7 linked regions of the Sus scrofa genome follow. The protein of the gene in region 4 interacts with the protein of the main gene of each other region in a pairwise test. Links are inferred from orthologs where the notes say so. Each region holds a gene or a part of one and is shown on either strand. Other genes may lie near its edges. The genes, in order: FAM206A, ASB7, AEBP2, HMBOX1, MFAP1, SH2 domain-containing protein 4A-like and WT1.

Region 1 (3,904 bases), on a different chromosome or scaffold from region 4:
CTATCTTTAATATCTTTGTTTTATGACATCTTTGGGAATCAACTGTGCTACATGAAATGGGAATTTGCTGCTTTGTGCTTACATTTTTTAGCTCATAGCACCATCAAAGTGGATGTTTAAATAAAGAGTTGCTACCTGTATTATGTCTGGTGAATATACTTAGGGGACAGCCATGCTGGCACGTTAGTTTAAAGAAGTTTTCTTGTGAGTCAAAAATAATTTTAAAATTTTATTTCCAAAATCATTTATATACCAGAAGTAAGAATATTCTCTTATTTAAGTGCAAGTTGGGGTGGGAGGGGGATAACTTATGACTTCAACAGTATAAGATGATGGAAACCAAAAGAATTTACACATCAAGGATAATTGTTTTATTTAAAAACAGATTATTTATATGTATGCATGGGTTGCAGCCCTTAAGGAAAAATAACAATCTTAAAAGTCCTTTTATTTGAAATTCAATATAAGTAAATATATAATCTTAAACCATAAATTCATAGTTTTTTTTTTAAACAATGACATGAAAGCTTTTGTTCTGTTCAAAGGCATCTGTGTCTTTGAACTACAGTAACTGCTCAGTAACTTCTTAGCTGGTTACCCTGTAACTCGAGTGAGAGACTGAGTGTCCACAAATGCACACATTACTTCACGCTGCAGTGTGAAACTTCCATATGTCAGCAAAGCCCTTTGCTCTTTACAAAGCCTTTTCCCGTGTCCCTCATTCAGAAGTCACAGTGCCACACTGCTGGACAGGTGAAGGCCAACCCACAAGGAACAGGGACGGCACACTCCACACCCTGCTGCTTCCCAGCAACCTAAGGGGGAGGAAGTTGGGGCAAAAGGGGTGGCACCAGATGCCTTTAGTGGTGTCACACTGAAGCAGACTGGGTAAGAAAGGCCAGCTGTTGATTTTTAACTTCAAAGCGATGGAAAACTGAGGCCAAAACATTAACCATGCCATAACATTTACACAGAATTAGGTCAAAACGTAGTATTTACTAAGAATGGGTTACAGGATGATGGGTAAATTATGCTAACTTCGATGTCTTTCAGATTTTCCTCAAAGTGCTTTGTTTGTTGGTTTTTAATGGGAAAAACATCTCTCACTTGCCAGTTGTTAGAGAAAAACAAAAGAAGAGCACAGGGAGCACCTGGGCAGGCAGATCTGGGAGAGTGAAGACAAACAGATTCAAGGCCTGTTATGGGAGACGAAGAGGGAAGACTAGGTCGAGTGTTGAGATCAGGCCTCCCTGCGGATGGCTGGGTGGGAAGCAGGCTTCAGCTACGCTGCTGCTTCCTTAGGGCACTGACTGGCTGGCAGGCGAGGAGAGAAGGCCTGTTGCTTTTTACTGCACCTCAGTCCTCACGCTGTAGCTGATGTGGCATTGGCGCGACTGGCCAAGACTTCTTCATATTGTTGTTGCGTCAGTAGCCCTTCTGTTACGCTTTTACTTTCTTCAAATTTGGGCAACACAACTGCAATGTAGCCTTCGGTGGACGGCTGGAGGGGAAACAGAATATTTAATACTGTCAAATGACAGGGAATCAGACAGAAAATATGTGGCTGGGATCAGACTGCTCCAGTCCCCTTTACCTTCTCTTGAAGAATAGATGGCTTATGGAGAATGTCTTCATTCACTTCCATCAACCGTCCTCTGACACAGCTATTTAAAACAAAATTGTTTTGAAGAAAAATATTACCTCATTTGTTCCTCCAAAATTGTGGTTAAAAAGTAACTGACGTAGGGAGTGCCCTTGTGGTGCAGCAGGTTAAGGATCAGGCGTTGTCACTTCAGGGGCTAGGGTTGCTATTGTGGGGCAGGTCACAACTGCAGTACAGGTTTGACCCCTGGCCTGGGAACTTCCACACGCCATGGGTGTGGCCAAAAACAAAAAAAATTAAATACTAAAAGATAAAATTAACTCACCTAGATATTGTGTATTCTTCTCCATCTGAGCAGTAAATCTTACACAGAGGTGCAAGTTCTGTTAGAAACTGTGCCCCCTGATAATAAAAGGGAGGAAACAATGAACTGATGTACATACTCACTTTTCTTTGAGCAGTAGCTTTCAGTGTTAGAATGGGATATGTTCCTGGAAGTACTACTTTAAATAAAAATGACTTCAGCACAGAAAAATCACTCATTTGTTAAAATATTTATATATTAAACGCTTGCTATGGGTGAGGCAACATCCTACGCTCTAGGGGAAAAAGCAGACTAAGACAGGTGATAACAGGTAATTTACATATTGAGAATGTATTCTATCTTAACTTATACTTTATATTTAACTGTAAATGAGAAAGCTGCATGTAGCCAAGTGTAAAGATTTCAAAAGGGTAGAGAAATCTTATCAATAATCAATAATATAAAATTAAACATTATCGAGAAAGGATAGCAATATTGTACAGTTAGTTTCATTAAGATTCTTACCTTATTTTTATGTTAGAACTTAATAGATAAAGGAATTTCTTTACTAGGCTGAATTACTAAGACTTTCTGAAGAAGGGATTTTTAAAAATTTAATAAAATGCACTTTGAGGAAAATTTGGAAAATATAGAAAAGTTTTGTGTAGCAGAAAAGAGTAAGTTACCCGTTATAACCCACTAGTAGATAGTATATCTTGGTATCTGTCAAAATGAATGTTTGAATGTTATGGCATGATTATAGTTTCATGTACTGCATTAAATGGGTCTACCTAGGGAGGTTCTGACTTATCTACAAGGAGGCTTAGGGGAAAATGAGGCAAGCATGTCTCATGTGTTGCTCTTTTTTCGCTTTTTAGGGCCTCATCTGAAGCATATGGAAGTTGCCAGTCTAGGGGTGGGCGCGGAGCTGTAGCTGTTGGCCCACGCCACAGGCACATCTGCAACCTACACGGTAGCTTGTGGCAATGCTGGATCCTTAACCCAGTGAGCAAGGCCAGGGATTGAAACTGAGTCCTCAAGGATACTAGTTGGGTTCATAGCCCCCTGAGCCACAATGGGGAATCTGTTGCTCTTTTTTCCCCCCAGGAATTTTTACTGCAGTGAACATTTGAGATCAAGGTGCTATTCTTCACAGCCTTTTTACCTGACAGCATTCAGGTGTTACCATGTGCACTTCACTCCTCTGCATGTGGCTACTGGTTTCAAAATACTAGTCTGTATGACTCCTCACTGTCTGGAGGAAGGACTGGGGTTTTGTCCCAGAGGGTCTGTCTATCACTGGGTCTCTGTCAAAACAAATGTTTTAACCCCCTTCTGTCACCTCCCTTGGGAGAATAAGAGATTGGCAGTGCTGAGATCCAATCAAAGCTTTTCTACAGTGGGTTCACCTGCAGACCCCTCTCTGCTCCTCAGTAGCAGCAACAGTGTTACTGTCTCGGACAAAGATTTATCACAGGGACATCCTAAGCACTAATTGTTTTACTTGTAATATGCAGACTTTTAAGAAAGGCCCATGGTTTTTAAAGTCCTTTTGCTTCCTGAGTGAGGAAAAATCACTATAAATTAGGTTATTAGGGGCCTTCATGCCTATAAAGAGGAATATACGCAAGGGTCTTCTGGAACGGGAGGGTAAATGGCGGAAACTCTCAGTATGAACTCAGTAAATGAAGGACCTGATCATCCACTGAAACGTTCCTGTCCAGTGGGATTGTCAGGACACTTAAAATGATACTGAATTATCCTTGATGTGATACCTTCTCTTCTAATAAACTGTCCATCTTGCCTAGAGCTGGAGAGGAGAGAGGTAATGTTTTGTAAAATTGAACATTGTGTGGAAGTAGAGGGTATTGCTAGATGTGTATTAATTTGGCAATGATTTAGGAATGGAAAATGTTATGAAGCAAATATTGTATATTTTCTCGTAGTGATTTTCTTCACTACCTCAGCACTTATTTTTTCTTTTAAATTCACATGTG
Region 2 (3,500 bases), on a different chromosome or scaffold from region 4:
AATTTACAACAATATTATACCAGCAGACAACAGAACTGATGGAGCCATGCATATATAAATATTGTGTATCTGAGTTGGTATGACAGAGCAATAAGGAAAGAAGGGATGGCTGAGGTTACCTTTATGTATGAAATAGCCACCCACCTCATGTTACACACAACCAATTCTGGATAAAGTCCTAAATACCACAAGACTTTTTAGAAGAAAACACAGGCAAATAATGACCCTGTGGTATGATGTACCAGATACAAAAAGCACAAGCCATAAGCCAAAAGAAAAATACAATTCACCTACATTAAAACGCAGACTTCTGTCCCCCAAACAAACACAGCAAGAATGTGAAAAAGCTGCAAACTGGAAGACTGTAGCAACATATATAAACAGCTCCTACAAGTGGTAAGAAAAAGACAAGCCAAGCAGTTTAGTCTTGCAATGCTTTGCTATTCATATATCATTGGGGGGGGGGGCAAAAAAAAAAAAAAAAAAAAAAAAAGAGGCAAGCAGATCACCCAGAGGAAGTGCAAAGCACCTAGTGATACACGCCTGGGCATCCTCCCACCCCATAAGGACAGAGCCATCAACAGCCTTCTTTAAAGGACAATTTGTCAATGTCCATCAAAAACAAACAAACAAAATTAACATCCCTTTGAAGGGGTAACTGTATCACTGAACTCCTAGGAATTATCCAAGAGATAAACTCTCATCTGTAAAAAGATCAGTCAAGGATTCTCTATAATTCTGTTTGAAGAAGCAGGAAAATGAAAAATCAGAATGTCCAACGACAGGGAATAAATTTAAATAAATCACACCCATAAAATGGAATTTGAGATACAGTCATGAACTATCACTTAGCTAGTGTTTTGTGAAAAAAAAAGAAAATCCAGATGTAGAGCAGACCACGGACAAAAGGGAAGCAGGCTAGAAGAAGGATGGAAAAAAATCACACACTTCTAGCACAAACCATGGCTGCAGGGACAGTGACCGCCTCCAGGAAGGAGCTGAGGCTGGAATCCAAGGGGCAGCGGCTCCCCTCACTGAACAGTCTGCACCATCCCCTTATGCTCTGTTTCTGACCACTCTCATTTGTGCATGGATTACCTTCTCAACACACTATCTCCTGTGGAGAAAACTGCAGCCACTCTCAAAAAATACAAAGGATGGTTTAAATAAACAGTCATCCATACTAATAAAGCCTATATCCAGCAGTTGTAAAGAAGACAGTAAATCCATATGTATTATTATTGAAAAGGGACAAGGTTTCTTTTTCATGTAACGAAAAGGTTTCAAAACTGGTTCTGGCGATGCATGCTCAACTCTGAATATGCAAAAAGAGGACACTTTAAATGAACTGTAAAGTATGTGAATTCTATCTCAATAAAAGATGTTAAAAATATCTACACATACATACACACACATACACACACACACACACACACACACACACAGAGAAAGGGGGAGAGGGTGAAGATATAGGGTTCAGCAAACTGGGGCCCTGAGACCAAACCTGGCATGCCATTGGTTTTTATGAATAAAGTTTTATCAGCACACTGCCACACTCATTGGTTCACATTAAATAAGGCTGCCTTCATACCACAAGGGCAGAGTAGTTAATGACAGAAACAGGGAGGATTCGCAAAGTCTAAGATACTTAACTATCTGGCTTTTTACAGAAAAAGTTTGCTAACCACTGATATTAAGAAAATCTTAAGTTATATAGCTGAGCAAAAAAATAACACTTGCAGAATAATATGGTCAGCATGATTTCATTTATATTCTAAAACTGCATATCACACAGAAAGACATATTTTCTATGGGTACATAAGGAAATGATCTAGAAAGATAAGGACCAAGCCAAACTCACACCCATGGGTTACTTCTGGGCAGGGGTAGGCAGATAAGGACTGGGAGCTGGCCAAAGGGGATTTGGGCATTATTTGTAATTTATTTGAAAATGTGTATTATTTGAAGAAGACAAGTTCATGTATTACCAGAGTAATGGAACATTAAAAAAAAATGTTTTACAAGCAAGGCTGGCACAAGTAGAAAGTAACATGATGAGGTGGAATTAAAAAACATGAGTTCTTATCTTGGTCTTAATTTTACTGAACATTGCCGGAATTTTAAGTATTCTGATCTGACACCCACCTATGAGTTTTTTTCAGGTCTTTCTCCTGGTATTCTTCTTGGTTTCCCCCTCCTTACCTTCAGGGCTGAGGTTTTCAAGCTTCAAGGTGAACCGAGGTGTGAGCAAGGGAAGACCCACACCTCACTACACACACTACAAAGGAGCGCAGGTCAGCGAATGGCAAGGTCCTGTCCACAGCCAACTATTTCGGGGCATGCTTCCTATTTCAGGGTCATTCAGATGTGTGCTGATTCCTGATCTCAGGACTAGCGGACTTCTATGTTTTCTGTACTTCAAGTTAAGTTTGCAATTAAGCTGGACTAGTCTTGATAAAGTACACTTTAGAAATGAAACTAAATGATTGTTAATAAGCAATCCAGGCCCTAGAATGGTACATAATGGAACCTGAGTCCCAACCAGGATGTTTTACACCTTAATTTACAAGAATAATATGAGTACAAATGATAAAATACACTTGTTCATCTTTAAGAAAATAAATTAAATGGATACCCAACTGGAGAAAAAAGTAAATTAGTTTAAGATAATGATTAGTTATTATTAATTATGGGAGGGGATTGTTTTTCAAGGCAAAAATATAAAATGTGAAGTGCATTTTTCAAACTGTATATATTTAACACAAAATTAGACCTCTGATAACCAATCTTATAGGATACCTAGAAACCATGTACAATTCTGGAAAAGCCAAGTATTCTAAACAGCAATAAAAGCACCTAAATTTTTTTTTTTAAGTGATAGAGTCAAAAGATAGGGTGTCATTACAGCCACGATATTTAAAGGGGCCTGCACGTGCCCTGTCTGCTTGAGCAATTCTAACAGGGGAAACTTGAGCAACACTCTAATTACCAATACCACAGCCACTTCTGCTTCTGAAACGAAGCAATTGGACAACCTGAAGAAAGGCTGCTTTTAGTTGAATAATCTGGGAAAATCTGGCTGTACATAAACTAGAATTATAGGAGGAAAAAAGCATATTAACAAGTTTTTTAGACAATTTGGTTTCAAACAAAACTCAACATGATGATAATCTTCACAAAGGAGAGAGAATAAGAAATTGAGTATGAATAAGAAGTATTAAAAATTGTATAAATATGCACACTTATATTTTAAACTAAACAGAATTTCATTTTAAGTTTCTTCTTAGGGAAAAAAAGATTTTGCTCCTAGTACACTCACCTCCATGTTCTAGAAATACTCGAACACATCTTTCCTTTCCTCTTGCTGCAGAGAAATGAAGCAGGGTCCAGCCATTAGCATCCCGGCCATTGGGGGAATAGCCTTGTTCTAACATCTTTCGTACTGTGTGGACATCCCCGGCAGCCACTGCAGCCTGGATCTGCAACTCTTCCTGAAGTTC
Region 3 (3,500 bases), on a different chromosome or scaffold from region 4:
AAGGATCCAGAGTTGCCGTGAGCTGTGGTGTGGGTCACAGCTGTGGTGTAGGTCGCAGACACAGTTCGGATCCTTCGCTGCTGTGGCTCTGGCACAGGCCAGGCGGCTACAGCTCCAAATGGACCTCTAGCCTGGGAACCTCCATATGCCACAAGAGCAGCCCAAGAAATGGCAAAAAAGACAAAAAAAATAAAATTAAATTAAAAAAATAGAATGGATAAACAACAAGGCTCTACTGTATAGCACAGGGAACTATATCCAATCTCCTGCGATTAACCATGATGGAAAAGAACATAAAAAAGAATGCATATATATGTATGATGGAGTCACTTTACAATACAGTAGAAATTGGCACATTATAAATCACCTATACTTTAATAAAAATTTTAATAATAAAATGACATAGATGATAAAGTAATAAAGAGGTCTAATGTTCTAATTTTACACATAATGAAACCAGAGGTAAGAAAAGATACCTAGTTTACTTCCAGTCAGTGTCTGATCTTCAGATGCCTAATAGTCCAAATGCCACCCCACTACTCCTAAATAGCTCAAATTAAAGGCTAAAAATTTCAACTTTATCATTAAAATGTTAAATTGTGGGAAATATTTGGGGAAAAAAATCAAATACTTACAGTACTATGAAAAACAACACTGTGTCCCTTCCCTAAACTTTCTATATGAGCTGAGAGGTTAAAGCATATGGCTCGATGTCTTATCGCATCCAGTGTTTGTGCATCGAAGAAATCATGTGGCCGTGCTAAAAGTCAATACAAAAGAGGTAAATGTTTAGAAAAATATGACAGTCTGCCAAACAGCCATATTAATAGTTCATTTTCCATAAAAATGTGTGATAAGTAAAAAAGACTTGCCTGTTGAACAAGTATCAATTTACTATTTTTTTTCAAATTTTAATATTCAATATTTTAATTTTAATTTTCAATATTTTATTATTTATTTATTTATTCATTTATTTTTTATCTTTTTAGGGTCTCACCCATGGCATATGGATGTTCCCAGGCTAGGGGTCCAATCGGCCCTATGCCTACACCACAGCCACAGCAACATCAGATCCAAGCTGTGGCTGCAACCTACACCACAGCTCACAGCAACACCAGATCCTTAACCCACTGAGTAAGGCCAGGGATTGAACCTGCATCTCATGGATGCTGGTCAGATTCATTTCTGCTGAGCTACGACGGGAACTCTGTTTTTTTTTCTTTTCTCTTCTTTTTCTTTTCATTTGGGCTGCCCCACAGGGTATGGAATTCCTGGGCCAGGAATCACAACCGAGCTGCAGTCAAGACCTAAGCCGCAGCTGCTGCAATGCCGGATCCTTAACCCACTGTGCCAGGCCAGGGACCAAACCTGCATCCCAGCACTCCAAAGACGCCGCTGAGCCAATCTGTTGCACCACTGCAGGAGCTCCTCAATCTAGTGTTTAAATCCAAGATTTTCTTTGCTTTCTAAACATATCATCTGGCTGACAAGATTAGGATGTACAAAAGCAGAACTCCCAGCTAATGAGTAAATGTGGGTTAATTTTGCCCCTTGGTATGTGAGGTTCTAACCACTGACTGCATGATTCTACATTTCAGCTACTACCTTTTTCACGTAATTTTACATTTTATTCCGGCATCTCTTTCTGAGTACCAGTCCTACATTTTCAACAATCTGATAAACATCTCCAAAGTGCACTACTGAGATCTCATTCACCTAGGCCAAACATACAAAATACACCTCAAGAATAATATACATTAATACATAATCAAAAATTGTCCAGAGAGTTCCCATCATGGCTCAGTGGTTACTTAACAAACCAACTAGTATCCAGGGTTCAATCCCTGGCCTTGCTCAGGGAATTAAGGATCTGGCGTTGTCGTTGAGCTGTGGTGTACATTACAGATGCGGCTCAGATCCTGACTGCTGTGGCTGTGACACAGGCTGGCAGCTACAGATTGGATTCAATCCCTAGCCTGGGAACCTCCATATGCCGTAGGTATAGACCTAAAAAAAGACCCAAAAATTTTTTTTTCCAAATTTGACAAGTGGTAATATTATTTTTTTTTTGACAAGCATTTTCTTGATTCTAAATAATCTTCTAACAACCTAAGAAAACCATAAATACACTCTTGAATGCCAATGAGTCTGCCAAAATTTTTCTAACTCCAAATTCCACCGTCAGCCATGACTTTGGGCAATGTGCTTTACTTATTAGCCTGTTTCCTTATTTGTGAAATGGAAATACAACAGCTATAGATTATGAGTGAGTAAAATAAATGCATATGAAAAATGCCCTAAGTCATAGTGTAGTTTATATTAATAAGGTTATGCCATTGTTTAAAATAAGAAATTCAGGGAATTCCTGTTGTGGCACAGCAGAAATGAATCCTACTAGTATCCAGGAGGATGAGAGTTCAATTCCTGGCCTCGATCCGTCCAGTGGGTCGGGAATCCCTCATTGCTGTGGCTCTGGTGTAGGCTGGGAGCTATAGTTTCAATTCAATCCCTAGCCTGGAACTTCCATATGTCACAGGTGTGGTCCTAAAAAGCAAAAAAATAAATAAAAATAAAAAATAAGAAATTCACAAACCAAGAATAAGCAACCTTTCATTGTGATCAGTAACAAAGTTATACACTGATGATTTGATAAAAACATTTTAATTTCTATTTTCATCCCACTAGTAGTATTATAAATTGTAGTTTTTATTCCTAATAAAGGAAAATAAATTTAGTATTTTATAATTATGGAGCTTTCTAATACATGTACTATTTTCAAGATCATCTGTAATTAAATATTATTGACAATAAAAGAAACAGCTTGATTTGCTGGTACAGCATATTCTGAGTTACATGTATGCTGACTTATCATACTATTCTGACTACTAATGTAGTGGAGTGGATTTACCTCCACTATTCATGGAGCTCTCAGTACATCTATACAAATATACCAGTTAGCACACTCAATGACACAACCTTGGTATTTTTTTTTCTCATTAGATCTTTCCTCAAAAGGAAATAAGCAAAACACCAGCTAGTAATAAATTAACAGAACCCACAAGACTAACAACGTAACAACAAGGGAGTATCAGTAAGGAAAAAAAAGAAAAAATGACATTTATGGGAGAGAAAAACTCATGAGAAACAATCCCCTTACTATTTGATCTGTTGCTAATGAGGAAAAAAAGGTGTACTTTCTCCATACTCCCAAATATGCTTTCTCCTGAAAAGGATAAGCACTCAGAGAACGTAACAATAACTCACCCCTCTATATCATTCAAATCTACTACTCCTCACTCAGAAAGAAGTCATCAATTGAATTAAATTAAGAATAATAAAAGAGACCCTCAAATTCAGATTGTATGCATTCAGACCTTAACCTCAAGTTATGTCCATATCAAGAATACTGAACTAGGGGGAGTTCCCAAAGTGGCTCAGCAGAAACAAATCTTAAGAATCCATGAGGACACAGATTCAATCCCTGGCCTTGCTCAGGTTAA
Region 4 (3,500 bases):
CTCCTTCCTGCGGTTCCTACTGAACCCAAGGCAATGCTACCTGCACCGGCAGACCTGCCCTTTCACGTTCCCAGATTTCCAGGTAGGACCTGGTACTCCCCTTATGGACACTCACTCTCTCTTATTCTCTGAAGCTTCCTTTCCTTCCTTAAAGGTCTGGAAACAATGAAACCTTTTAGCTCTTCTCTGGCAATCACTGTATTTCTTTAGAAACCGCAGCTGCCTTAACAGTTAAGAGTCTGCTTCTTTACAAGGACCAGCAAGAACAAATGATACTAGCCATCCCATCATAAAGAAGCTATCAATTATAATAATCTCCTTACAATAAATCATGGATGTGGCTTGTCAGACAGTGTATTTTTCCCTCTCCTTTTCTTTCTGATTCAACTGAGAATAAGCAGACAAAATTCCACCACAATGGAAAGATATGGTATATTTTCTCTAAATAATATAAAAGGAAAGAAAGATAACAATCTCCTAATTGAAATAAAAAGTCAAACGCACCAAGCAAGAAAATGAGTGGGGGGATCATTCCTGAGAATAACGAATGCTACTCTTGAATTTGTTGGTTCAAGTAATATAGTAAAACAGAAAAGACTGCTCCATTTTACTTCAATTCTTGAAAGCTGGAAAAAAATATGTACATTTTCCCCCTGAAATCCATGGACAGGAGCAGGCCCAGGTCCTGCCTATAACTCTATATAAAGTCACAGACCCATATAAGGTGGCATTTTCATGCCTCTCAAAGGCTTCCTTACACTGACGTAAGCAGGATTAACAGACGCGGAGACGAGCTCATCAGCATATGCCTTACGTGGAGGAGTGAGACCAGCGAGAAGCTGGCGGATATTCAGTATCTCACTAATGAGGAAGGAAAAAAAACAAAGAAGGTCAGTCATTCTCTCTCTCTCTCTCTCTCAATGGTTTTAAGTTGAAAATATCTGGTGGGGGAAGAAGGGTGAAGAGGTAAGGAAATGGCACCCTCCTTCAATCTCAGAAATCATTTTCAGGTAATGGATAAACAGACAAAGCCCTGCTTAATAGCCAGCCCCATATTCCCCTTTAAACAAGGCTTCTCTGTACATAGGAAGGAGAGATGGAGCGAGGCAGGAAATATAGAGCAGTTGTGCCTCTTTCAGACGCACCCTACGCTGCCACACTGAAGGCTGTTTCCTCTTACCCACAGTGACAGCACGTCCTTTAATCGAGATGCCAAGAGATCATTTTCATCCAAGGCCAGCAGATGTAATTTTCTTTGATGCATGAATAGTTCATCATTTTGCTACTAGATGACAAGGTGATCACAGGGTGACTTTATAACCCAAGTTCACTGTTTGGTATTTTGAATTCTCAAAATGAAAAAAAGATTTATCAAATATAAATATCTTTAAAAAGTAACAAAAGTGCTACATATGTGATCAAGGAAAAAAATTCCATTAGTTACTGCTGCTTAAAGTAGATTAAACTTTACAAATATTACCACATCCATTATCAATATGGCTTCCAATTATTAAATAAATTGCCTGTAGCAATATAGCTTTTCACACCTCTCCAAGGACAGAGTAAAGAGAACACCAAAGCAGTCACATCCTGTTGTATCTCGCAGACCCACCACATAAGTGGCAAACGTCCCCTGCTTTTTTCTGCTGCTATTTAGGTAAGTATTTGCATTTGTGATAGTCAGTCAGCATAATCCCACTATAAAGTCTTCTAATAACCTCTCATGTGGAGGGGGCTTCGGTTAATGGATACAAAGACTGGAAGTTCGTTCACTTACTTATGACCTTAGCTCCATCCTTGAAAGAGCTTTTTTTGGTAGCAGGGAAAGGGGACACAGACAGGAGGCAAAGCAGCTTCCGTGACGACCTCCAGCACCTTTCCAGGCAGGCACGTAGCTGTGCCACATACTGTATAGTGGTTCTGAGAACTGGACTTAAAATCCATTAGACATTCAGCTCATGGTTTTTTGTTTTTTTTTTTTTTTCCAATGCTCTCAAGCTGGGTTTTCTGTTTTGTTTTTTTTTAATGACTTTTTTTTTTTTTTTGTCATTTTTCTGTTTGTTTTAATCATGGTCCCAAAGGAGAAGGCAGTATTTTATCTAAGTCACACAGCTTGTGAGAGGAAAGGATGTCTGTGTCAGGCATGTTAACATCAACCAAAATCTGAGATCGAGTTTTTCCACTGACATTCTTAGCACAGCACCCAAAGAAGTATAATCTAGCCACAGTGTGACTATTATGAGGCACGGCTTATTGCAGCTGGAAATCAATTACTCCCACGCTGAGGAGGGATTCTAGTGTTCCTTTTACTCTGCGGATACTCCCCAAATGGTGTCTGTCAATCCTGGGCCACACTACCTCAGCTTGCATCCTACCAGTCTTGGGGAAGGAAAAGGGGTACAAACTAGTGTTACAGGAATCTAAAGGTACCCAAGGTTTTACACGTAGCCTAATATTTGAAAACTGAGGGCTATCTAAATACCTGGAAGCACTTTCCTGGAATGCTAAGACAGAGCAGCAAGATTTTTCTAGCCTCAGGGGCTGGGAGAGGGAAGTTTGGTTGGTTGGTTGGTTATTATTTACTGGAATTAATACTGAGAGTATATGCAAAGGCTGAGGGCACCATGCCATCTTCACAGAACAAGACCCTAACGGCTAACTGACATACAAGAAACTGCAAGTTATACTGTAAGAACACATGTTAAGGACCGAGGAAAGTCTGCTAAGGTGCTACGTCTAAACTAAGTTAACTTCTCGTGTTCACCCTCTCTGATCAGTCGTCATCCAGAGCCTCTGTCTTGATTTCGTTGGCTCCTTGTCGGGCCAATGCCAAGATAGTGTGGTTGACTGCTGCCATTTCCACAGCTAATGAGATGGGGTCCTGGTGGTCACTATGGCTAGTGCTGTCATCCTAGATGTGCAGAAATAAGAAACAACTGTTATTAATGGATTGGTAAAATTCTCTAGCTTATAGAAAGGCATGCTGGGGCAAGGGGAGGCAGAACATTTATGGGAGGAAACAGAGTTGGAGATGGGGCATGACAGAAGAGAGGTGAAATGTATTTAAGTAGACACTGAATGGATTTAAGTCCAGAGACTTCCGGTTGGCATTTTTATGATTCAATAAATAAAAAGCATTCAAATAGTTTTTTTCCTGCTGAGGATTTTATTTCTTCTATCAGAAAGATTGCTGGTGGTGATGATCAAACCTGGATCAGTCTATGTTTGAAATACAGCACTAGTTACTGAAGGCCAAACTAGTGAGCTATTAAATTCCAGATTGGTACTTGTATTACAAAAAGATTATTAGAATTCATGTCCTCTCTCTACTCAACTGAGAAAACGAGACAAAACTATGGACACCAACATCTTAGGGATAAAAATGCATTTTTGTAAAAAAACAAAACCCCCAAACTCTCAATTACATCAGGACAAAAGTGCGACTGGCAGAAATGGCTAGGGGAGAATACGTGTGGCAGTCTCCTGCTGTAAGGCAGCTG
Region 5 (4,076 bases), on a different chromosome or scaffold from region 4:
ATGACCTTACAAAGCCCCAACACTGGGAGAAAGTTCTCAATAGCTTCTGTATCACAAAAGCACCAAATGTAAGACTTTAGGGCACTGCATTTAAGAGTTACAGTCATATCAAACTTTTTTTTCTATTCTCTAGATGTCCGTGAGCAGAAACAACTAACTGCCTTCCCATCAGATTTACTCCTTCTGAATAGCACGGTTTTGAAGCTGATAAAATTATAATACAAATTTCTATTTGCTCTATTTTTACAGTCCTTTTCTTTCCAGCTCAAAATTGCTCCTTTGATGGCTTACTTGAGTCATCCATTGTTCCTTAATGGAGATTTGCTCAATTGTATTTCTCCCAGCCTAAGCCCAATTTTAGAACACAGATGAAATAATTTTAGAACGAATCCTTCAAAGCCCTTCAGGAACTTTCACACTCCTCAAATGAAAAATTACTGATAAAATCAAACTTTTCATAGTGTCTAATATATATACCATGCAATTTCTGTACTTCAAGACTTTGCTCATGTGTCCCTTCCCTCCCCACCACAGCAGTTATAAAATCCTTTCTACACTGAATGTGTTTTGACTTTCAATTAGCCTATGTTTTTTACACAGCCCAGCAAGTAAATTGGGATTGTTTCTGATATTACTGTAAAAGCCCTTGAAGACTTCCTAAATAAAATTCAAGTATTTGGAAGACATAAGCCTTTTAACAATGCTCCATACTCCTTAGAGCTAAACGAGGTAAATACAGCAAGTGCTTAATAATTACTTATGGACTTTCATATACAACCATTCCAGCCAAGAATATGTTTTAATAGGCAGTCTCTAGAAAGGAAAGAACTGAAACGCCTAAGAGTGTTTGGATTTCAGGCATTGTTCTAAGCCGTTTAGGGGATTTTTTTTTCCTGCCACTGGTCTAAATTAGCACCACTTGCCCTGACGTAACCCAAAAATATCGCACTACAAACCGCTCGGTCTCATCAAGTGAGAAAATCAGGTGCTATTAGCAGGATTTCTATTTCGATTTAACTCTAATTCTTAGCTTTCAACAATCTGAACACACTGTCCTTCTCTAACTCCTCGGTTTCTTCTTCATCACTTTGCCATTTTCCTCGGCTTCAAACGAACCTAATCAGCGAAACCTTTAATTCGGGTCTTCCGCGGACCTCAGAGTCTTAACCGCAAAGTCCAGAGAGCCATTTCCCGCCAGAAGTGGCGTCCAAATACCGCGAGACTAAGGTCGACAGGGAGTTTATGAGCATGCGCAGTAACAGACTCCACGGACTTTGGCTCCCTGACGTCCTCCACAATCCCACAATCCTCTAGTCGTACATTTCCTGTTTTTCTAGCTCAGCCGTAAGTGGTGTTTCTATCAGTACGCAGCAGTGTCCAGTGGCCTCTGGTGCGGAGGATTTTCTGTTCGTTGACGTTGTACCTGTTCACAGTTTGGAATCAGTCAAGTTTTGGAATCACCGCCGCTGCCATCAAAATGTCGGTCCCAAGCGCACTCATGAAACAACCGCCTATTCAGTCTACGGCTGGGGCCGTCCCGGTTCGCAATGAGAAAGGTACTGTGTTGAGCTGTTTTCCAGTCGGATCTTACTTGTTTCCCTAGCATATTCCAAACCGACCCCGGGCCCACCACCTCAGCCCCAGCGATCCTTAAGACCTTGCCCCCTATTTCTTTCGCCATCAAACTCGCATCCAATCGCGTTGCCTAGAAGGGAAAAAAACACCCACACTATTTCCACCTCATCTTGTTCCTAGAGCCTGTCGGTTCACTCCTACAGCAAGCATCCTCTTCCCTTGGCCTCCACCAATAAACTAGAGTAATAAATAAAGTGAACGCTTGCTGTTTGGAAGGCGTTGTGCGGGATACAATCCCAGTTTTGTTATCCATAATCTGTTTATGCTTTTATAACTCTTACTGTAATTATGTGTCCATCTCTCTCTACTGCATCATAAACTCATAGATTCCTCAAGGCAGGAACCCTCTCTTATTAAACTTTTTAATCCCTTTCAACCAACGCAGTGACTGTATTTGTTAAATTTAATACAGAGACAGTACCCCTAACCTTAAGGAACTCATAGTAGACGTGATTCATGCAAAAAGAGACCTATTCTAAGCAAGTGTGCAGTCTTTCGCACCCCTAATACTGTTACATAGGTGATGTAAACCAAGCGCTTTGAATAATCTCTTCAGACTGGGGTACTCAAGTTGATCTTTAAAGGATAGGTTTGATTCCAGTGAGTGCAGATGGATGAAGCAACACTGTACCTGTTTAGGGAGTCAGACTGAAAAGTCAAGAGTTTTTTCAGTAAGATATTTGGAAAATAATATCACTTCTTTCCTGTTTTTTAAATATAAGGTACTTATCCTTGTGTAACCTGCCTTTTTTTTTTTTTTTCCTTAAACTCTGTGGTTTTTTGATAAGTGCCTTTGGATACATGGAGATCTTATTAATTTAACTGCTTATGAGGTCTATTATATGGAGTTTGTTCCCTGCTGAGGGACAATTAGCTGTTTTGTTACTTTTTTTCCTCTTACACACAGCGCTGCAGTTATCATTCTTTAGTGCACTGCCTTAAGAATTTTAGGGTAGACTCCTAGAAGTTCTTCATCAATTAACTACCTATTGCCATTTGCTCTCCACAGTGGATTGTAAGAGCATTGAAAGTTTTTATTTCCTGTTATATTACCCACAATCTTGGTTGTATGAGATTTTTTTTATTTGCCCGATCTAATGGGTGTGAAACAATAGCACGTTATTTTAATTTGCAATTTCCTGAGTCCAGGATTACTAGGCATCTTGTTTGTGTGTTTATCATCTCTCTAGGTGTTGTCTTCTATGAATTATCTCTTTCAATTACCCATTTTCTATTTAGTTTGTTCTGACACATCCCAAATCTTTTTTTTTTTTTTTTTTTTTTTTTTTTTTTTTTGTCTTTTTGCCTTTTCTAGGGCCACTCCTGTGGCACATGGAGGTTCCCAGCTAGGGGTCCAATAGGAGCTGTAGCCGCCGGCCTATGCCACAGCCACTGCAACTAGGGATCTGAGCCGCGTCTGCGACCTACACCACAGCTCACGGCAATGCCGGATCCTTAACCTACTGAGCAAGGCCAGGGATCGAACCTGAAACCTCATGGTTCCGAGTCAGATTCGTTAGCCACTGTGCCACAATGGGAACTCCCCCAAACTTTAATATCTATTTCCCAGAGTTTTTTGGCTTGTCTTTTAATTATGGAGTCTTCTGTCACACAGGTGTTTTTAGTTTTATTGTTGACAGATTTAACAATTTTGTCTTTTATGTTTTGTGGTGTTTAGTATACTGTTTAAGAAATCCTTGGAGTTTCCTGGTGGCTCAGTAGGTTAAGGATCCAGTATTATCTTGGCTGTGGCTCTGATCCCAGCTGTGGCCCAGTTTCAGTCCCTGGCCCAGGAACGTCCCAATTTAAAAAAAAAAAAAAAAAAAAAAAAAAGTCTTTTGAGTTCCCCTTCCCAATTTAAAAAAAAAAAAAAAAGTCTTTTGAGTAACTTACCCAACCAGAATCCATGAGGACTCGGGTTTGATCCCTGACCCCGCTCAGTGGGTTAAGGATCTGTCATTGCTGTGAGCTGTGGTGTTGATCCCAGATGCAGCTCAGATCCCGTGTTGCTGTGACTGTGGTGTAGCCAGCAGCTGCAGCTCTGATTCAACCCCTGGCCTGGAAACCTCCACATTTCCTTGAGTGCCGCCCTAAAAAGACCAAAAAAAAAAAAAGATTTTTGGTTATCTAAGTGTTTGTATATTCTGAATAGGAAGGATTACACAGTTGTCTAAGACAGACTATAAGTTAAGGAGCTTACAGTCCAGCAGGGATGTAAATGTTTAAGATGTGTTTTTCGTGCATGAGTATTTAGCTTATCTGGAATTGTGTGTGTGTGTGGCATCCATTATAGATCTAATTTTAGTATTTACCTCAGGGCTAGCCAGTTGCCCCAACTACTCCATTGTTTTGCCGTACCCACTGCAAGTTATGCTTATTTGCCATATGTATAACTTCTTTGGTGAGGTATCTGTTAAGGTCATTTTTTTGGTTGGTTGGTT
Region 6 (4,266 bases), on a different chromosome or scaffold from region 4:
TGGAGAAGGAGCTGCTCAGGGAAGCTGGAAACTTCTACTCTGTTCCCCATTTTGAATTGGGTGACAGCAACACCGACGGTGTGGGGAGAGCCTAAAAACTACAACTTGGCACGTGCCACCTTCACAGCGCCCCCTCCCTCCAGCACTGGTGACAAGCGCTGACTCCTGCTGGGCAGCCACCACCTTGAGCCCTGCACATGCAGTAACTTATGAACCTTCACCATAACCTTGGTGTTCAGTCCCTCCCTCTGCCCATTTCACAGAAGATGGAAAGGGGCGGCACTGGGCGGTTTGGCTCCACGTCACTGCAGGAGGTTTTCTCCGTGAGCCCAGAATCAGAACATCATCAGGATGAGGCCCCACGGGTGAAGTTTCAGAATGAAAACCAGCAAATTCTAGAGGCAGCGGAAACGGTGAACCGAAGGTACATGAGGCAGGGTCCTTCTTGGGAGGCAGAAGCCTCATCTCTGTAACTGCAGGTGGGCTTTGGGGACGCTGGGCATTGAAAAGCCCTCACCCCGGAAAGATGGCGGGAAGTGACGTCATGTTGGCGCAGGCGCAGATACTGATGCCCAGTCAGTCACTGAGTATTGAGCCTCCTCAGTCCCCCTCCTACCACCCCCAAGAGCAGCACTGGGGGCAGGGGGCAGAAGGATGGCAGGAAGGGACACAGTCAAGACCTCACAGCTGCGATTTTGTGCCGTTTTGCCTTTTGCAACAAATAGATTTTTGACGTTAAAGTGGATCTTGAAGGAAAGACACTGGCCTCCCCCTGTCCTCAGGGGAAACTTGGGAACATAGTTTACAACCTTTCTGTGGGGTGAGGCTGAATAATATGCATGCCACTCGGAGGCTGTGAACACCCACCAGCGTGAACGGAACTCCTTCCTCAAACACAGCACAGGAAGCTCTCGGCTCACAGCTCTGCCTCTCCTGAGCTGTGGATGTTTGCGTTGTCACTTCCCTTCCTCGGACTCAGTCTCCTTGCCACGAAATGAGCCTGAACTTGAATCTTTGTCATCTTAGGAATACACTACATTATAGTGCGGAGTTCCAGACGCAAGTGGGGCTGGGTCAGCGGAAACAGAAACAAGGAAATTAACCAACCAGGGGTTTCCCCTGGTTTCCCTGACAATCAGTGCTTGATACGATCAAACACAGGTAACTTCCGTATCCAATTCATTGAGTGCTACCCAGTTATTTAAGATCCAGTAGAAAGGAAAACTCAGCTAACTCTTTTCCTCCTGAGCAGCACTATTCTTAAAACACAGAAATGACAACAAGCAAAGAGTCCACATCTGCTATTTTTTTTCCAAAAATTCAAAGGGTCATGGCACCCATATTTCCCAGAGCCACTGTTTTATAAACAGTAATTATATTTTTTGGTATTTTTTATAGCTGCACCGGCGGCATTTGGAAGTTGCCAGGCTAGGGGTCTAATCAGAGCTGCATCTGCAATCCATGCTGCTGCAGCAGCAATGCAGGATCCTCACTTAACCACTGAGCAAGGCCAGGGATCCAACCCGTCTCCTGTGGACACTATGTCAGGTTCTTAACCACTGAGCCACAACAGGAACTCCAAGAATTGTATTTTGAATGACTCTGAGATCTTACTTTACCAGAGATACGCCTAAATCATAAAAATATTGTAATATGGACAGTGTACTTTAATGTTAAAAACATAGTTTGAATTCTAATTCTTTTTAAAAAGCCCTGTTTCCAGACTTTCCATGCTCTTACTCAACTTTACCTTGTTAATCTATCTGCAAAAGGGCTATTTTTGAGGATAAAACAAATTACCATGGGTGACAGCAGTTTGGTAAATTTGATAAATACATACCATTCTTCAGGTATTTAAAAATCGCTGTACGTGAATTTCTCCAGAAATTCCTCTCACATGCCAAATCTGTACCTGGGATAGGCCTTCACTCACTTATTCACTTAAAATAATGATTGTATCCCAAGTCATTTCTATTAAACAGGCAATCAAACAAAGCCTTTTAGGAGGTGAGCAGACTCCAAGTTTAGAAAGAGAGGAGGGGAGTTCACTTGCTCTTCCAGTGACTCTTGGGAGGGTAAGACAATTCTGAGCAAACCTGCACAGTTTTGCCCTCTTCGCTGCCCCTCATGCCACCTCTGGGGAGCCCGCGTGAACCAGAGGGCGGGAGAGAGCAGGGAAAGGTCACGGCCAGGCCACCTGCGGCCACAGTCTGGTCCGCCTTCCGGGGGGCGGCGCGCCCACCCTGGGCCCTGCGCGCCCACCCTGGGCCCCACCCCGCACCCTCAAAGGCAGAAAGCGCCCTCAGACCCGGCCTTTCCCTCCGCCCGCGACCCCCACGGGCCACTGCCGGCCTTCTGCACGCTTCCTCCCTGGCAGCCCCGCTCGCGCCCCTCGGGGGACGCGGCCGCCTGCAGCAGGAGCTTCCCGCGCGCCCCGCCGCCCGCGTACCCCTCACCACGACCGCCGGCCGGCCCTCAGCGCCTCTGCTCTCCCGCCGGTGCAGCGACACCGGACACCGACACCGGACACTCGCCCGCCCGCCCCGCCAGCACCTGACCCCCCGGCGGAGGAACGCGCCGCGCGCCAGCGGGACCAGAACCCACGGGGACATCCACCCCCGCCGCCCGCCCGCTCGCCCGCACTCACTGGCCGCATCTGGCCCCTCCCGGCCCGCACCTGCCTGCGCGGGGCTGGGCCGCCTGATCGGGTGCCGAGGGAGGAGAAGGAGCAGTCGGCTGCACAGACACGCGGCCGCGACATGAGCCAAGCGCGTCCCCAGCCCGCCCGTCCGTTCGAACCTGCGGCACCGGGGCTGGTCCCGCCGCGCGCGTCCTGCGGACGGTGGTGAGATCCCGGCCAGGCACCAGGCTTCCTGGCAGGTGGGGCCTGAGCCGGCGGCGGGCGGGCCTTTCTTCGCTCCGCGGGCTGAACTTCTGTTCTGGCGCCTCTGGAGCTCACTTTTTGTTGTTGTTGTTGTTGTTGTTGTTGACTTTGAGAAAATTACCAAACTCTTGGGCACTTGTCCGGAGGGGTGTGGCTTTGTAGGAGGACAGGACCAAAGAGGAGAACAGCTGGAAAGATGGAGACTGGAGACAGCGGGGACGGGGAGAGAAAATGAAAGAAATCCAAAGAGAAGGGCAGAAGAAAAGGAATGCTGAGAGCAGCGGCCAAGTCAGGTTGGGGTGGTTGCTGAAGGAGGAGGAGCTGGCCGAGGAGGGAAAAGGAAATCTGGGAGGAAAGTTCAGTAGAAGCAGCGTGGAAACATTGGGGGGGCATGTTCCTTCTAGAGGAAACGTTCAGAATGTGTGCGGCAAACAGCCTGCTTTGGTGACCCCATGGTGCAGGTGTCAGGGAGAGAGGTTATAGACTGCGATGTGGTCCTCTTCCACGCAGCCTGCCTGACTTGCTCCTTCAGAATGAAACCTTCCCATTTCTAGGCTTCCCGTACTACAGAAGTTAGAGCCTTGGGGTAGAGGTCAGTCCTCCTGCCTAGCTATTTAAAGGCTATTCTGGAGATCCTATCTGGGGAGAATTCCTGGTTCAGTTTGGTTCCACTGCTTATTAAATGAATGGCCCCTTAGGGTCTTTCTGGCTGGAGTGTCATTTGGCCCTGGCTCGCTGCTGTGGCCAGCTCTGAAGGAAGCCTAACACTTCTTGCATGGGCAGTGGAAGAACTGTAAAGTGAGCATTTAACACATCTGAGAACCATTTAATGAACACTTGCCAGGAGCCAGGCCAGTGGTGACACTGGGGGCCTGCAGGGAACAGATGGCCAGGGCCTGCATTGCCATCCTCCCTGCAGCACTGCCTGCTACAGCAGCTCTATGTTTTATACCTCTTTGAAATCATAAACATCAAGTAAGGACTAATCTACCCCAGGAAGGTTTGAATCCTACCCAACACCCAGACACACAATAGGTATGCAGGATGTGTTACAGTTCAAATGCTCCACATGGTAAAATTGCTCCAAAAAACATCAAGGGGCTCTGTTATGTAATTACGAGGCCCTGAATTATTTTCTGCCCTTTGGGCCATGCTCTCAGTGGAAACATTTCCGACTCTGGCATCTGCAATGCGTTGTGGAGGACTGTCGCCTTCACATGGCAGCAACACTCCTACAGAGAGTAGGTCTGGGCCACGGGCCCTTGGCAGGAGACAGGGGCTGAGCCTCTGCTTCCTGCTGGTCCTTGGTGAGTCAGAGACACATAGGATGGGTGTCACCAGCACGCCTATTCAGGAGTTCCGATGCCCACCCAGGGCAGAGT
Region 7 (3,500 bases), on a different chromosome or scaffold from region 4:
TCAACCTGCTGAACTAATTTATAGCAACTACAGTTGCGAATTAGGTTGTGCTAGGTGTTCAGCTTATCCCCTTCTGACTGCAGTGCCTATCTGTGAACCTTTCCAAAAAGACCAGTTATTTCTTGTATTTCTCTGGTCTCCTCTGCTGACTTGGAACAGGAAGTGATGCAATGATAGCCAGATATAAATGACCATGGAAACAGAATTCCCCACCCCTGCCCTTATGCAATCACAGCATGAGAGCCATCGCTCTATGATGAGAGGTGAAAGCCGTGCTCTCTGGCTGCTTCTAGGACCAGTAATTGCCTCCTGAGGTTCAACGGAGAGAAACAAATAGTGGTCAGGACCTGGACAGACTTAACTAGTGGTCACTGATGTCACTGTCAGCATCTCACCTGCTTAGCAGAGCTCATCTGTCCTCAAGATTTAAACACAATACAGCTGATAGAATCTTACCACTTTCCTTTTGAATAGACTTTAATTGAGAGCGAAGTGAAAAATGCAGGTTACATTTTTAGTGTTATCATCAATATGTTGGAAGATCAACACCAAAACAGTGATGCATCTAACATTTATACATTTCCTAATTTTAGTTGTCAAGGAGCAAATCATTATCAGATAGATATATTTACACAATCATTTCAAGCAACAGTAAATAATAAACTCCCTCCCTTAAAAAACAAACAGAAAAACCCAAAAAACCACACATATACCCAACCACCTTTAAACAATGGATTTCCTCACACTAGCAAGTCTCATTTTTTTTTTTTCCACATATACTTGTAGACCCAAAGTTACTTAAGTTATTAGGAACAGTCTTATCAGTGGGAGATCCTGGACCAGCCCTTATTTCCTTTTAGAGTCACCTTAATTTTTAACAACTCGAAGCCCCATAACCAGCGTGGTCTGTACATTCTAAGGACACCCCCCAGATGATGAAAATGGATTCCACTTCCTTTGTGTGAGGAGATATGTGCATCTCTGAAGATGCCTATGATTACAACTCCGAAAAGTCAAGAAGAAACCCCCAAACAAAATCTCAGATCTTCAAGCACAGTTTCTTAAGAGCACTGTGCTCCTGTTAACACTGAGTTACACTGAATGGGAAGATTCCTTTAGAGATCTGTGCAGAGGTACTGGTTAGTGCTGATTCTTTTTTTCAGCTGCTTGAAATGCTGGCGTTTTCAAAGCTGCCTGGTGGCGCTACATCCTGCCTTCAGGTTAGCAGCCTGCCTAACCTCCGGAATGTCGGACGGGACTCACCCCCAGTGCCTTGCCCTCTGATTTATTTCTTGCTGTTGCTGTTAGTAAATGGAAACCATGACAAAGTTTACATTAGCAGACACATCCACATGCCCTGGCCTATAAATATTCTATGATGGAAAATGGTACAATGACTCCATTCCTTGTGAAAATGAGCGTAAAGGGAGACGGGGTGGGGGCGGGGGGATGGGGGAGGAACAGTATCAACCACGGCTCTTCTTACAGTGGAGGATCCAGACCACATGGCGACGGGCTTTTAACTAACTGGACACTGAGAGCCACTTCTCCAGGGCTCAGAGGTGGCCAAGCAGAGGGACCAACTCCTCCAGGCAAACCTGGTAGGATCCAGTGGTTCAGGCATCTTGTCTCGGACGCTGGATGAAGGTCGGCCGCCGTTTCCTTCTTTGAGAGGCGAGCCAGGAGGAATGTTAAAGTCAGCTTGCAAAGTCGTTCACACACCGTCCTGCCTGGACACGGAGCGGTGCCCGGGGTGGAGCCCTCAGAGCGCCAGCTGGAGTTTGCTCATGTTTCTCTGGTGCATGTTGTGATGACGGACTAATTCGTCTGACCGGGCAAACTTTTTCTGACAACTGGGCCACCGACAGCTGAAGGGCTTTTCACCTGTTGACACAATGGCCAGTCAGAGACACTTGCGGTGCAGAGATGGGGCACAAGTTATCAAAGGCCAGAGTTAAATCACCACAAGGCACCCACTCCAGATCCCCTCTAGCTCTTTCCTTAAGCTAACGGCTCGGGCTCGTCGCACGGGCAGTGTCTCTGGGGCCTTACGGATTAAAATATCACGAAAATTATAAAATTGCTCTTGAGTCAGACGATTTGGGGAATGGGAGCGCAGGAATGAGCGTAGTTATCTGAAATGTCTGGGCAAGTCATCTTTAATGGGGAGGGGGCAATATTTGGTTCAACGTCTGACACCAGACTGTAAATGTTTCCCCTTTGCTGTTTAAGGAGGGAACTGAGCTTCACTGGAAGGTGAGGGCCTTGGGCCCATCACCTTGGATACTGTTGGTAGATTGCCAGGTGGTGGCAGAGCTGCGACTGCAGCCTTAGTGTCTCTGTATAGGTCTTCTGGACGGGCTCGGCATCTTTAAATAAATCACTGGCATCAGCGCACATGGTATTTGCTTCTTTGCCTTAAAGGCTTACTCAGAGCATAATATCCATTATACAGAAGATTCCAGTTGAGGCATGGCTTTGAAATTTTTAACACGCTTGCCAAAAAATTGAGGCATCTTCATCTAAGGAGGCCTCAGAAGTTCCTTTCAAGCTTCATTTTGGATAAAGACAATTAGCATTTATTAAATGCCTAATAATGCCAAGCCTTGTACTAGGTATCGCACATACATATCTGGCCTTATTATGTATGTGTGTACACATACACGTACACACATCATTTTGTATTCTCCTTACAACAGCCTGTAAGGTGAGCGCTATTATCCCCATTCTACAGATGAGGCTGGACCACGAGTGAGGGCAGACGCAAGAGGACTTGCATCCAGGTCTGTCTGATTCCAAAGTCCACACACTTTGCTGCATCTCACCTCCTCTCAGCATAATGGACACACAGCCATGGCTTTATCCTAAGTAAAAATGTCACAGGAGCCAATGCCTGTGCCAGCAGAGGATCTTCTCGGGATATGGCTTGTCCCACACTTTGCCTTCTCTGAGAACCACCGGATGGGACAAGCACTGAGAAATGGCCCAGGGGAGGCACTGTCCCAGGGTCAGAACCAGGTGGTGGGTGGGGGGCGGGGAGAGCAATCAAATACAGGCCTCAGCAATCTGCCGGTGACATGCGTCACTTTGTACATATACAGAAAAGCACAGGGCGGGAGTGGGGTACAAGGGGAGATAACTCTTTCCCACCAAATTATGAGCTCAGGATTAAGGCAAAGAAGTGACACCAAAGGCACCTGAGCAGAGGAACAAGATGCCCAGCCCACCAGCTCTGGGGCACAGGTGCCTCGACTGTCTGTACATACAGCCTGTTGGGGCTGCACAGGGTTCAGGTCCTTGCATTTCCCTCACCTCCCACTCACTGTTGGTCTGCTCTTCCTCAGCTGGCTCCGGTGCCCCACTCTTCCCCCCAGCCACACTGTCCAAGGTCACCTCCTAAGGGGCAAATCCCCACCCTTCCTCCTGTTGGTCTCCATTCTCCTCAGTCTCTGGATGGACTTAAACTCTGCTGATCTTGGGTCTTTATTGTCTGTCTTCCC

The links.
Region 1: the proteins of HMBOX1 (region 4) and FAM206A interact in binary tests that used the Homo sapiens proteins (3 or more experiments, as listed by UniProt). The two-hybrid records come from large-scale screens. The link is inferred for Sus scrofa from reciprocal best matches to the Homo sapiens genes HMBOX1 and ABITRAM.
Region 2: the proteins of HMBOX1 (region 4) and ASB7 interact in binary tests that used the Homo sapiens proteins (3 or more experiments, as listed by UniProt). The two-hybrid records come from large-scale screens. The link is inferred for Sus scrofa from reciprocal best matches to the Homo sapiens genes HMBOX1 and ASB7.
Region 3: the proteins of HMBOX1 (region 4) and AEBP2 interact in binary tests that used the Homo sapiens proteins (3 or more experiments, as listed by UniProt). The two-hybrid records come from large-scale screens. The link is inferred for Sus scrofa from reciprocal best matches to the Homo sapiens genes HMBOX1 and AEBP2.
Region 5: the proteins of HMBOX1 (region 4) and MFAP1 interact in binary tests that used the Homo sapiens proteins (3 or more experiments, as listed by UniProt). The two-hybrid records come from large-scale screens. The link is inferred for Sus scrofa from reciprocal best matches to the Homo sapiens genes HMBOX1 and MFAP1.
Region 6: the proteins of HMBOX1 (region 4) and SH2 domain-containing protein 4A-like interact in binary tests that used the Homo sapiens proteins (3 or more experiments, as listed by UniProt). The two-hybrid records come from large-scale screens. The link is inferred for Sus scrofa from reciprocal best matches to the Homo sapiens genes HMBOX1 and SH2D4A.
Region 7: the proteins of HMBOX1 (region 4) and WT1 interact in binary tests that used the Homo sapiens proteins (3 or more experiments, as listed by UniProt). The link is inferred for Sus scrofa from reciprocal best matches to the Homo sapiens genes HMBOX1 and WT1.

Annotation. Positions count from the first base shown.
Region 1 is NC_010443.5:249,898,494-249,902,397, forward strand, and holds the end of FAM206A (protein Simiate), read right to left. Parts: intron 2,006-3,904; coding exon 1,929-2,005; intron 1,665-1,928; coding exon 1,595-1,664; intron 1,502-1,594; coding exon 1,364-1,501; 3' UTR 501-1,363; downstream 1-500. UniProt on the Homo sapiens protein: Actin-binding protein that regulates actin polymerization, filopodia dynamics and increases the branching of proximal dendrites of developing neurons.
Region 2 is NC_010443.5:139,201,407-139,204,906, reverse strand, and holds part of ASB7 (ankyrin repeat and SOCS box protein 7), read right to left. Parts: coding exon 3,320-3,500; intron 1-3,319. UniProt on the Homo sapiens protein: Probable substrate-recognition component of a SCF-like ECS (Elongin-Cullin-SOCS-box protein) E3 ubiquitin-protein ligase complex which mediates the ubiquitination and subsequent proteasomal degradation of target proteins.
Region 3 is NC_010447.5:53,632,488-53,635,987, forward strand, and holds part of AEBP2 (zinc finger protein AEBP2), read right to left. Parts: intron 761-3,500; coding exon 636-760; intron 1-635. UniProt on the Homo sapiens protein: Acts as an accessory subunit for the core Polycomb repressive complex 2 (PRC2), which mediates histone H3K27 (H3K27me3) trimethylation on chromatin leading to transcriptional repression of the affected target gene.
Region 4 is NC_010456.5:12,881,107-12,884,606, reverse strand, and holds part of HMBOX1 (homeobox-containing protein 1), read right to left. Parts: intron 2,912-3,500; coding exon 2,774-2,911; 3' UTR 1-2,773. UniProt on the Homo sapiens protein: Binds directly to 5'-TTAGGG-3' repeats in telomeric DNA. Associates with the telomerase complex at sites of active telomere processing and positively regulates telomere elongation.
Region 5 is NC_010443.5:127,740,131-127,744,206, forward strand, and holds the start of MFAP1 (microfibrillar-associated protein 1), read left to right. Parts: upstream 1-1,276; 5' UTR 1,277-1,477; coding exon 1,478-1,556; intron 1,557-4,076. UniProt on the Homo sapiens protein: Involved in pre-mRNA splicing as a component of the spliceosome.
Region 6 is NW_018084867.1:67,350-71,615, forward strand, and holds the start of SH2 domain-containing protein 4A-like, read right to left. Parts: upstream 2,801-4,266; 5' UTR 2,678-2,800; intron 2,505-2,677; exon of another isoform or gene 2,450-2,504; intron 1-2,449. UniProt on the Homo sapiens protein: Inhibits estrogen-induced cell proliferation by competing with PLCG for binding to ESR1, blocking the effect of estrogen on PLCG and repressing estrogen-induced proliferation. May play a role in T-cell development and function.
Region 7 is NC_010444.4:28,452,967-28,456,466, reverse strand, and holds the end of WT1 (Wilms tumor protein homolog), read right to left. Parts: intron 1,885-3,500; coding exon 1,763-1,884; 3' UTR 460-1,762; downstream 1-459. UniProt on the Homo sapiens protein: Transcription factor that plays an important role in cellular development and cell survival. Recognizes and binds to the DNA sequence 5'-GCG(T/G)GGGCG-3'. Regulates the expression of numerous target genes, including EPO.